Linked DNA regions of Drosophila melanogaster. The protein of the gene in region 2 interacts with the protein of the main gene of each other region in a pairwise test. Each region holds a gene or a part of one and is shown on either strand. Other genes may lie near its edges.

What was found. Proteins that work in one complex are often made in the same cells at the same time.
Region 1: the proteins of blot (region 2) and CG4887 interact in a two-hybrid assay, tested with the Drosophila melanogaster proteins (one large-scale study listed by BioGRID).

Annotation. Positions count from the first base shown.
Region 1 is NT_033779.5:1,171,041-1,178,090, forward strand, and holds CG4887 (uncharacterized protein), read left to right. Parts: upstream 1-1,968; 5' UTR 1,969-2,160; coding exon 2,161-2,279; intron 2,280-2,339; coding exon 2,340-2,789; intron 2,790-2,843; coding exon 2,844-3,090; intron 3,091-3,156; coding exon 3,157-3,226; intron 3,227-3,456; coding exon 3,457-3,530; intron 3,531-3,869; coding exon 3,870-3,947; intron 3,948-4,006; coding exon 4,007-4,133; intron 4,134-4,246; coding exon 4,247-4,483; intron 4,484-4,538; coding exon 4,539-5,003; intron 5,004-5,060; coding exon 5,061-5,841; intron 5,842-5,901; coding exon 5,902-6,151; intron 6,152-6,215; coding exon 6,216-6,332; 3' UTR 6,333-6,549; downstream 6,550-7,050. Other genes in the region: charon, read right to left, coding at 1-603, 674-873, 983-1,579; CG4896 (uncharacterized protein), read left to right, coding at 6,910-7,004.
Region 2 is NT_037436.4:17,418,508-17,423,279, reverse strand, and holds the start of blot (bloated tubules), read left to right. Parts: upstream 1-1,765; 5' UTR 1,766-1,926; intron 1,927-4,772. Other genes in the region: Sec3 (secretory 3), read left to right, coding at 1-182, 239-746, 825-1,172.

The sequences.
Region 1 (7,050 bases), on a different chromosome or scaffold from region 2:
TCCACGGCGTAGAAAAGCGGTGGGTTTCCGCCCCTCGCCTCGGATGCATTGATGACATCCCGCTTATGTGCACGGTTCTTTAGCAACGTCTTGTTCAGCTCCAGCCGTTCGCAGGCACGATCGTAGTACTTGGCGAAGCCCTTCTCGTCCCACTCATTCGGATTCGCTGCCTCCAGGGTTCTCCTGTACACCGTTTCCCCCAGCTCGCGCTCGTCTATACTATCAAGGATTGCCTCGACAACAAGGAACTGGTTATTGCGCACTGCCAGGTGCAAAACTGTATAACCATCATCGTTGGTTAGCAGAAGACTGTTCAAATCGATTCTGCGCAACAGCAGCCTAATGGACTCTATATTTATATGGTTTATCACCGCCAGATGAAGAGCTGTGTTTGAGTTCTCGTAGAGGTGGTCGGTCATCATGCGAGCGTCCAGGATGAGCGATACAATCTCGGTGTCCGTGTCGTTCGTCAGCGCAAGTTCCAGGCAGTCCTCGCCGTCCCTGGTGAGTAGTTCGTTGATGTCCATTTTCGCGTGGCAGCACACAAATATCTGACGCTTAACGCCGTAAACATCGCCGTGCAGTATTTCCTCGTGAATGGGTCTGAAGTGCCATGTGAAAAGATGATATCATTACGATGATGATGGTCTTATTCGGCTAAATGAATACTTACAGCAATCCTTCTTCGGACATTATGTGCGACTTTCTGAATTCGTTGGCCATGATGCGTATAATGCGGTCCTCGGTGTTTCCGCTTATAAAGTTTTCCACCCGGGTCAACTCATCGGAGTTGAACGATATATCCGACAAGGTAGAGTTTCGGCGTACAGGGGTTTTATTCGTGATCTGATATGATTCGAAGTTTTGCGCTTGCTGTAAGAAAGATATTTATAATAAAATCGTATATATATTTCCATTCGAGATTTATGAACTTAGTACTTTCCAGGAGGAACTACTACATCATAATAATACTTGTACTTACGGTGACATCCCTTTTCTTCCGTTTAGTGATCACGGGCGTCAGTTGCTTCTCCTCGCGCTCCTTAAGCGCCATCTCAGCCGCTGATCGCTTGACCACCTGTGGCACGCAGGTGTTTCGCTTTCTACCGCGCTTTTTAGGAACTTTGGTCGGATCTACTGGCGGTTTTATAGGTTCGGAACTTGAACTGGTCATGTGGCTATGCCTATTCCCTTTGGCTTCGCATGAATTATTTGTAATGCCAGGCATATGCGTTTCCTCGGTGTCCCAATCCGTTTGTGTAGATGAATCGACTTTTTGGACTCCGCACGAACATTGTTTACCGTGATTGGAGATAGCGACCTTATCGTTATTATTGCTCTCGTTTATCGCGTCGATCACCCTTTGGGTAAGGGCTTTGTCTGGGATTTTCATGAGTAATTTGAAGATGTCCTCGTAGACGGGCTGGAAGGACTTGCGCTGGATGTAGGTAGAGGCACTATGTGGCGCTGAGATGGATATCACTCGCAGGGAACCGACTGGTTTGATCACCAAAACATCCGAACTACTAGCGACGACTGGTTGGATGTGCTGGGCTTTGGTCAATAGAACCTTCTTCATCGTGGCCGTTTTACAATGCACTGCTCGATCTCGCAATATCTACCAGCGATAAGGCCGTCAGCTAGTGATTGAATTCGTGGGACTTCCAAGTTTAGGACGATCAAAAAAAAACTAATTGGTTTTTCCCCACGACACGCTGCACGGAATGGCAAGTAGCGGCACTCGGACGCTGCTCAACACTGCTCCTAAGGATGGTTGGTGAGCAGTCAGACAAGAGCACTGTTATTGCTGATAGCTAATGTAATGTTTGTTTTTTAAGAAAAGAGTAGTTTTCGTTAAAAAAAACTTTATAATTATGTTATGGTCTAGAACCTAGAGTTTTTAATGCTTAAAAATATATAGCCATCTTTCGTTGCAAAATACATAAATATAAAAGGGCCATCTCTAGCTTTAGAGAATTATCGGCGTTTCGCTGCGAATGGCACATCGAGTATTCTTGAGAAAAAAGATACGGTGGTCCTCCATAAGGAACCGGGATAAAAATATTAAGGCTAAGTTACCAAACAGATCGTGAAGGATTCCGCATCGAAGCTCTATTGCCACTGGTGCCTGCCCAGCGTCTATGCCAAAGCAAGTCGGCAATGGACTCGAGTAGTCGGCGCAGTTTTTCTGGTGGAAGTGAAAACGAGGGTGGACGGGGCAGCGACTACTATAGATCCAGGCCGGGGTCTCGATACAGTCGATCCAGGTCGCGTTCCCGGTAATTCTACCCTACCAGCGTAATGCGATCGTGTTTATTAGTACTGTGTACCCTTTTCAGTGAGCGCAACCGCAGCCATGGAGGAATCAGGCACCGGAACTCTCGCTCTCGAAGTCGGGATCGGGATCGGTCGCCCGTGTTCAGAAACGATCAGCATCGCGGTGGTCGAGGAGGAGCTGGTAACGGGGACCCCGACCTTTACCACAGCCTGATCAACGACGACTACAGGGATCAGGATGAGCGCAACTACAACTCCAGGAGCAACTTTGAGAATCGTCAGTTCCGGCGACATGATAGCTTCGACCGTCGGCATCGGGACCGAGATGGCGAGAGCGATCGGGAGCTAAACGACTACGAGTACGAACAGCGCTCCCGCGACTTGGACTCACGTGATCGTAGCTCCACGGACAGGGACTGGTATCACAACAGAAGTCGGAGCAGGGAACACAGCAGACCCTGGAACAGAAACAACAATCACGACGACAGAAGCAGAAGCAACGAGCGAAACACGTGAGTATAAAGTATACATACACTTCAGGCTAAATAATAAATCGGACCGTGCAGGCGCCACCGAGATCACCGCATGTACAACGGCGGTGGCAGCAACCATAATCGCGATCGAGATCGAGATCGGGATAGGGAGCAAGACCGTGAACGTGATCGAGATCGAGATCGGGATCGTGAGAGAAGGGGCTCCTCAGATTACGACAGCGATGAAGGCCACATGCGCAGGAACAAATACCGATCCACCACTGAAGCCCTCAATATTATTATAATCTTCGGTCTTACCAAGGAAATGACCAGAGCAGATGTAAGCCAAGCAGAAGAGTGGCAAATGCAACTCCTTTAATTACTCATGAACTAACTTTTTTTTTAGATTATGAGCGAGCTGATAAAGGTGAACATGGAGCCAGCGTGCATTCGCATTATCCGGAAGCAGGGAACAGGTGGGTTACGAAATCACTGACTTTGTTCTTTCAGCGTCAGACGTAAGTAGGTCCAAAAAGTTGGAGCGGCTTCGCGCTAATGGAGGCGAAGTGTACAAGTACCAATCGAATTTAACCGGCCACATGAATCGAAAAGAATACAATAGTCCACAAAAATGTTACAAACCTATCGAAACATTCAACATTTTTTGACGAAAACATTTTGTATCTGCTTCTATCCGAAAATTTAGATTCATCACGCGGTATAGCGTTTGTCGAGTTTAACACCGTTGAGGAGGCAAAGCAATGGATGGATATTACACAGGTATCAGCGCAATCGACCAGATCCCCTTGAAACTTTGATCATCATCAGCAGCCAAGGTTGTTCGCAGGCAATGATAATAAGGAATTCCTCACTGTTTAGCTTGCTTTGTCCAACTAAAAGTACTTATATGTAGTTGCAAGGAAACTAAGCACGAGTATAGTATTGCTTCATTAGAATTGCCCAAGAAAGCCACTCGAGGAGATTGCCAGCGGCTAAAACTTCGCGTTACGAAACACAGATGCAATCCGGTGACTGTGTAGAGTGTGAATGAAGGCATCCTAGCGATCGGTTACTAATCCGCAACCTTTCCTTCTCCTATTTCCATGTCTGGCGCACCAGGGCGTTCTGAAGTTAAACGACGAGCGGGTGAGCATGCGGTACAGCCACAAGCGAATTCAGGACTGGAACTGCAACAAGGTAGGTGCACTGAGATGATCATATTCTTAATGGCGAGTAATGTGTTTCGCTTGTTCCAGTGTGGCGTCTGCAACTTCAAGTTTAGATTCTATTGCTTTGTGTGCAAAACATCCCGGGAAGACAGCGAAACCACCTTCTCCTCCGGTAGCGAGGGCGTGGACGAAGTCAGCACCATCCTCACCAAAAGTATACAAACCACATAGACTCTCTTGCCATCTCGTTTTGTAGCTTCGATCGCAATGAAGTCCAACAGACCACTGACCGCCACGATTTCTCTACCACTTCCCCAATCCACGCAGAGATCATGCTACGCAACCTGGACGCCCTGACCAACGAAGAGGCTGTGCTCACTGCCCTCCAACTTCACCTAAAGGATCTGAGCAAGACCGTGAGCAAGGTGCTAATTAGTCGGGATTCCTTGACGCAGGCATCGCGTGGAATTTGTTACCTTCACTTCGACACTCTTGTCGACTCGATGAATGTGCACAATGCCTTGACAGCGCTGGATCCTCCACTTACCTTGGACGACAGAGTTGGTATGTGGCCTTAGGTGCTTTTTATAACTTAAATAATAACCAATATTTCATCCAGTGGCCATTACCTATTGCATCGACTTGGAGGAGCAGCAAGCATTGCCCAAGAACCCTAAAGAATTGGCAGTTAAAGATTCAACTGTCAATAGCGGGAACATTTCAGCAGTTTCGCCCTCAGGATTGGGTGGAAACTATACTCTGGCCGATGTGCCACGACTCGCTGAATATAGTGCCTCCCTGTACGCTTCGAATCCCGCAGAGCACGCTTATTATGTCCAGTACTATACGGAGTACTACACGGCAGATATAAACAAAAATAACAGGGATTCCCATTTGACGGAAGCCAATTCCGGAGCAGCGGTTGCCCTCTCGGCCATCCAGCGCAAGCAGAAGAAGATGAGCAGTATCGAGACCACGATCACAGCGGCGGCCACAGCTGCCGCACAGGCAGCGGCGCAAGTGAAGGCCACATTGGCTGCTCAGGTGGCCAGTGCGCCCAAGGGCAACGATGGAAAGATATACCGTATGTCGCCACTCACTTGAGTATGCTAGCATTTTATTATGTTTCATTATGTTGCAGCCACTCCCGATGTGACGCAGTACCAGTATGATGAGACATCCGGCTACTATTACGACAGTACCACGGGTCTCTACTACAATGCCCACTCGCAGTACTACTATAACAACGAGACGGGCGCGTATCTTTACTGGGATCAGCGCAGGAGCACCTATGTGCTGGCCACGCCCGCCTCCACTCAGGCAGCTCTGCAGGAAGTCCTGGCCGACGCCGAGCAAAAGGGGGAGGAGGAGTCCAAAAAGGCGAAGGAGAAGGAGGGTGGAAACAAGCACGACAAGGTTAAGGTGGCGAAGAAGATCGTCAAGGACATGGAGAAGTGGGCCAAGCAGCTAAACCAGAAAAAGGACTACACAGCTGTGGCCACGCCACAACCAATATTGGCGAACGAGGTAGCCACCACTTCGCGTGGCAATCAAGGGGGATATGCTGATGTGGGATTCTCCATTCTCGAGAAGAAGGAGAGGGGCAAGTTAAACGACTATGCGCCAAACCCGACTGTGGGTCCAATGAACAAGCTTGTCAATGCCTATGGCGGAACATCGGACTCTGAAGAGGACAATGCTGCGAGTTCGCAAAACACACAGAGTTCAGCGGTTGTAAGCGGCGGAGGAGGTGCTGAAGAGTCCGATTACGTGGACTTCCATAAACTGACATGCCTGCTCTGCAAGCGTGCCTTCCAATCGTTGGAAATACTCCAGAAGCACTTGAAGATGTCCACTCTGCACAAGGAGAACCTGGCCAAGCTCAATCAAAACACTAGCAGTAGCATCGAAGAGGCACTAGCGTAAGTGAAATCGCGATGTGTGGTGGAGTATATTATCATTGAATTCATATTCTTTCCCAGCTATCGTGATCGTGCCAAGGAGCGCAGGCTGAAGTACGGCGAGAGCGATCCTCCCCCACCAAATAGGAGCAGGGAGCGATTCGAGCAGGAGATCAAGACACTGCAGTCGCGGCAAAAGCAGTCTACTAGCGCTACTCCAGCCATGCCCATCAGTTCGAGCAACGTGGGCAGTCGACTGCTCCAAAAGATGGGTTGGTCGGAGGGACAGGGACTGGGCAGGAAGAACCAGGGACGCACCCAGATCATAGAGGTAACTGAGCTGACGGCAAGCTATAAAATGAATTAAGAAAATTAAGCATTTTGGGTTCCCTCAGGCGGACGGACGCTCCAATTACGTGGGCTTGGGCAACAAATCGGGACAGATGATACCGGGCAACGACTACAAATCCTATATAAAGAAGATGATGAAGCAGCGCTACGAGAATGCTTGAGAAATTGGTTTTTAGCCGTTTCACATGTTTCATTTCAACTAAAGTCGCCGTTTAATTCAGCTTTTCAACCGAAGCAAAAATTATTTCCATATTATATATGAAGCTTCTTGAGCATTGTTTTCCTAACAGATTGGCGTTTTTTTAAGTCCACGAGCAAGTGTGACCGTTTAGTTAATAGTTTCTGATTAAGCGAATTTAAATCCTTTTTCGAATGTACAAAATAAAATGTAACGGTGTAAAGTTTAAATTTGCTTGGTGTTGGGAAACAACTGTTAGCTGGCACTTGGTAGCCCTGGAGCTATCGGTCAGTTATCGATAACTGGCAGTCAGATACTTCGGGTGAACGGCAAAAAAGAAGACCGAGAATTTTTCTATTCGGGTTTTTTTTTTTGGCCGGATAACTGATTGTTTCTGCCTGAATGCAAAGAGACTTCCAGTTCGGGAACAAGTTTAACCAGCTTCCAATCCTGTTACAGTCGTGGTAACCAAGTAAGATGTGCGCACATAGACGGTTCATCTAATGGCAAAAGGCCAAATCACAAACACTGCATTTAATTACAATCGATTCGCATTAGATATGGATTCTCGATATGGTCACAGCTTCTCGGGCGGCAACGGAAACGGCAGCGAATCGGGCTACAGACGCTACAGTCGCTCCCGATCCCGATCCAGGTAGGTAGTCCTTTGTCCACCTGGAGCCTCTTAGTGGATTACTACC
Region 2 (4,772 bases):
GCGGTGGATATGACACAGTCAATCATATCAGGAGCGGTTTCGCCATCAGGTGATGGTGTTCCGCAGAAGCGGATTGACCGTCAAATTAACGAAGATGTGCGTAAACTGATGATGGGCCTTTTCGGTTGCCTAGAACCAGAGCTAGTTAGCTTCATCCAGAGCTTTGAGCGTGTAGACAGCTTGTAAGTAAACAATATAGTAATGGAGTAAGGAGTAATTAACAAATTTGTTTTCGTAGCTACTCTCTGTACGTTTTTGTGCGACTTACGCAGCACGTCATGTCCGCCCAGGACACACATTCCTTTCTTAGCATGACCTTCGCTTCCGCCTTGGTGCAGGTGAAGCGGAGCTTCGACCGCTTTATGCAGAACCAACTACTGTCTATCCGGGAGGCAAAGCTGCACAAACGTTCTAAGGCCATTCTGCCGTATGTGGAAAACTTTGAAAACTTTGCCCAAACTGCAGAGGGCATATTTCGGAAATCGGATCGCCGAACGGACATGGAGAAGTGGTACTTGCAGCTGGTGAATGCCATATTTGAGGGCATCCAACTGCATTCGCAGGAGCACCCCAAGACACCAGTTCAGGTAGTGCGCATGGAGAACTACCACCACATGTACGCTTTGTTAGCCCAGCTCAAGGTTCCTGGTCTGGACGCCCTGAAAAAGGAGGCCAAGAAGTGTTATAACGATGCGCTAAAAGCGTATGTGACTCAGTACTTCGGCCGGCCGCTGGAGAAACTGAATGTAAGCCAAAGTCAATGACCTTCCAGAAGAAAAGATAAGTCGATCTTCATCTCATAAATTTCCGTTCTGCCTTTGCAGCAATTCTTCGAAGGCGTGCAACTTAAGGTGGCCCAGGGAGTCAAGGAAACGGAAATCAGCTACCAGATGGCATTCTCCAAGCAGGAACTCCGCAAGGTGATCGCTCAGTATCCTGCACGAGAGGTGAAGAAAGGACTGGAGAACCTATATAAGAAGGTGGAAAAGCACCTGAGCGAGGAGGAGAATCTGCTGCAAGTGGTATGGCATGCCATGCAGGAGGAGTTCATTGCCCAGTATAATTACCTGGAGGAGCGCATCCAAAAGTGCTACGCCGGCGCCATGATCAACCTGGAGTTCAACATTCAGGACATACTCGCCTTCTTCTCGGACATAGCGCGCTCCCACTGATCTAGGGATTGGAATCTGAAAGTCAGGGAGCGGTTCAACCGGGTTTTATTTTTAAGTGCAATAGTATTTAAAGCGCTGTTTCTGCTGATTGCAAAATATATGGCGCGTATATTTAAACAGATGTGGATCTGCGAATGTTCGAAACGTCCAAGAGAGAGGGATCGCGTAGTGAAAAATCAACGAGACTAGGCCTTAAAGGGAACTTTTCAACAGCTAGCCATTGAAGTTGATTATTGTATAAGTTCTAAGCTAAAATTACATAGCCAATACTCAACTTTTGTCCAAGAATGCGAGTAAACTAAATTTTATATATAAAAATGTAGAATTTCTAGAGATCTTACTTGATCTTTAGTACGTCAGCTTTTAAAAATCACAGATAGAAGTTTGACTTTTTGTATTTATACTTTTATAGTATAACTCTAATTTACTACCGTGCACATTCAAACAGCCTCCTAAGGTCAAAGAGAGCTCTTCAAGATCAAAAGAGATAGATCATAGCCTAAAGAGAGAGAGAGAGAGAGAGAGTGCTCGAAGAGTGAGCTTTCCGGGGTGGCTTTTCGTTCGCCAGCCGTTGGAGTTCGGGCTGGTGCTCCCAGTCAAGCCGCGCGACTCTTTCGCATCGGTTGTCGCCTGTCCGCGTGATTTACCCAACTGCAGTATAAGCATTTTATTTCGTGTATTTTAAATTGTTCTAGCCGTACGTGTTTCCGTGTGTGCTCATGTGCCGTGTTGATAACTCCGTGAAATGCAAATGGTAATTGCAAATGGCAAATGGCAAACGGAAAATGGAAGAAGCCGCAACGACTTGCGACTGAATGTGGTGCATATTTTATGAAGCTCCGACAGGGAGAACAAAAAGTTAGACTACCGCCGAACCGATCCGATCCGAACTGATCCTCCCTCCTGTCTGGGCTGTCCCATAAACATGGCCACCATAGCGACCCGTCCGACCAGTTTCGTGCTGTTGTGCGGTTGTCGCTCCTGACTCGGTTCTCCCTACCTTCCCGTGACCCCCATCCCCATCCCCGTCTACATTCCCATTCCCATCTCCTCCAGCCGTTCCATTCCTTAGCTTACCTTAGCCTGTCTTGCCCTCCGCCTTGCATTTCTCATGCACACACGTTGCCCGCTTTTTGTGCTTTTCGTGCGCTCCCGTGCTCATGTTCTTCCACTTTTTCGGCAGCCTGTAGTACAGTGGATGCCGGTTAACGGAAGACATTTACATTTTAATGCATGTTCGACATGGAAAACTAATCGGATACGAAACGCATACAAAAAGACTATTCTTTTTAGGACCTTAATGAGATGCAGGAATACTGAGTCTTCAGACGGCTTTGGAAATTTAATAATATAGGTTTCTTAGATAATCATTTTAGTTTTCAAAATCAATAACTCTACTTCATTTTAGGTTCTTTCATAACAAGCTTATATCTACAATAGTTTGGGATCACTCGGCATAGCTCTTTGCGTTTTTCAAGCCAATTTCCACTGTTTTTCTTTCCTCGCAATTCCTCTTCAACACAACTGCCTTTTGTTTTAGCCTTAACTGGCGGTCATCACAGTTGCTCTTGCCGTACGTATATTTTAACGAAGTTTCGCTGAAACCTGGCCCACCTTGATAAGCACCTGGAAAGTCAGTTGGTCGCGATCGTCTGGCAAGTTCAATGCTATGATATTGGCGCTGCATTTTCGACTTCCGCTATAATTAGCTAGCTCAACTCTTTGGCCCTTCGATTTCGCAGACCACTGTACTTGTTTTGGAAGAAACGGATAAAGTGCGATAAGAGTGCAACTGTGTGAAGTGATTAAGTGGCAGAGTTATCTATGTCATCAGTAAATGTTGTAATCACCGAGATGATCTTGAGTCATGAAGATATCAGGGATGAGTGGCCTCCATGGCTTAGCAGCATGAACTTGTTAGCATGATAATTATCTTTAGAAAATGCGTAGGTTTGGAAATTCTTTCATTCATATCTTAGTTTTAGAAAGCTCGTATCTGGTTACCTCAATGCCAACTTTGAAATAAAATTTTGCAAATATGCATATTACTGAGTGCGCCAGCTGTATTCACTCAAAGTTTATGTATGAATGAATATAGTGTCAGATGTCATCATGAGCATGCGGCGATATCAAAGTTCTCTTTTGATATATGTACATATATATGCGAACCTTATTTAATTTCACTGATTGTCCCCATTGAAATGTTTATTTGCTTATTTTAATTGTCGTTCCACTTTATTGTTTGCAGGCAGGCTAAATATTTTTCTCACTTGATAACCGTAAAAAACCAATGTTCCACAACCCATTTACTCGTTCTACACAATAATATTATATAAAAGGGAACATTTAAATGTTTACAGAACTAAAGATTTAATTTTCAGCTGAAAAGTTGGAACAGCCTTTAAACTAATACTACGATACAAAAGCAGTTAGAACCGAAAACGCGTTTGTTTGCTTACATTTTAGCACTTGATAACTGCGATGATAGTACGTCAGAGTCACTCTTGTTTTCATTCTAAATAGAGTGTTTACCTGTTTGCGTGGCACACTAAGCATTTTTCCAAAGGAAATGGCATATGGCCGTGCAATATCCGCCGCAGAATGCATCGCTCGCTAAATATTTGCACTTGCCCATTATCTTTTGTTTCAATATTATACTCAGCTGCAGAGTCGGCAATAGAGGAAGGTTCTCCTCCCGCCCCCACCCACAGCTCGTCCACTCCTCCGCTTTCCGGACTTACCGCCAATTTCCCGAAGGGGAAGCCATCAACTTTATGCTTCGTGACTGAGTCATCAGGTTTTTTACTCCATCTCCCTCCGGTTTTGGCCCGAACCAGAACCCAAGTTTACTTGAGGTTAGCTGCCAGCGGCAGTTTTTACTTATCTTTCGTTCTTTCTTCATTTTCGCTTCTTGTTTTTTTTTCCCCCCTGGCAACTGCAATATGGCTGGCCAGCTGTGGGCCGCACATTTTCATTTTAGCCCGCCCAACTAACCGTTATTTTGCGATGGGAGTAGGGCTAGACTCTAGACTCTAGACTGGCTAGAATCTAGACCTAGACTAATTAATTCCACATTTTCTAGCGCTGCTGTCATCAGCAGAACTGACCATCGGCGCACTTGGCACCTAATCTCCGCCATACGTGCTCAGCTATTTTCTTAATATTTTCGGTGTGTTTGGCAATCGGAAAAGCTTAAACAATAAGCGCCGTAAGTGTGCTATGTGGATTTGAAACACCTATATACAGGTGCTAGTATAGTTATGTGCATGTTTTATAATGCATGTGGAAAAAAGAGTGTGCGGCTCACATTGTTCCGAACAATGGAGCGTTATACGATAAAAAGTGTATAAAAAGGCCGAAACGGGGGTTGCATGTCACCCGGCTCAGATCGCTCGTCTCAGCCCTGAGAAAATGAAGTCACTCTCAAATAAATAAAAACACAGGCGAGAAGAGTTACGGCAAGTGCTAACTGAATCTGAATATAGCCACTCACATAATACCTGACTCTCGCCCCGGTCGGTGAATCTTTATTTATGGCTGTCGTGTTCTCAAATCCATGAGCCATGTGAACTGTGTGAACCCATCTCAGGCGTTGTAACC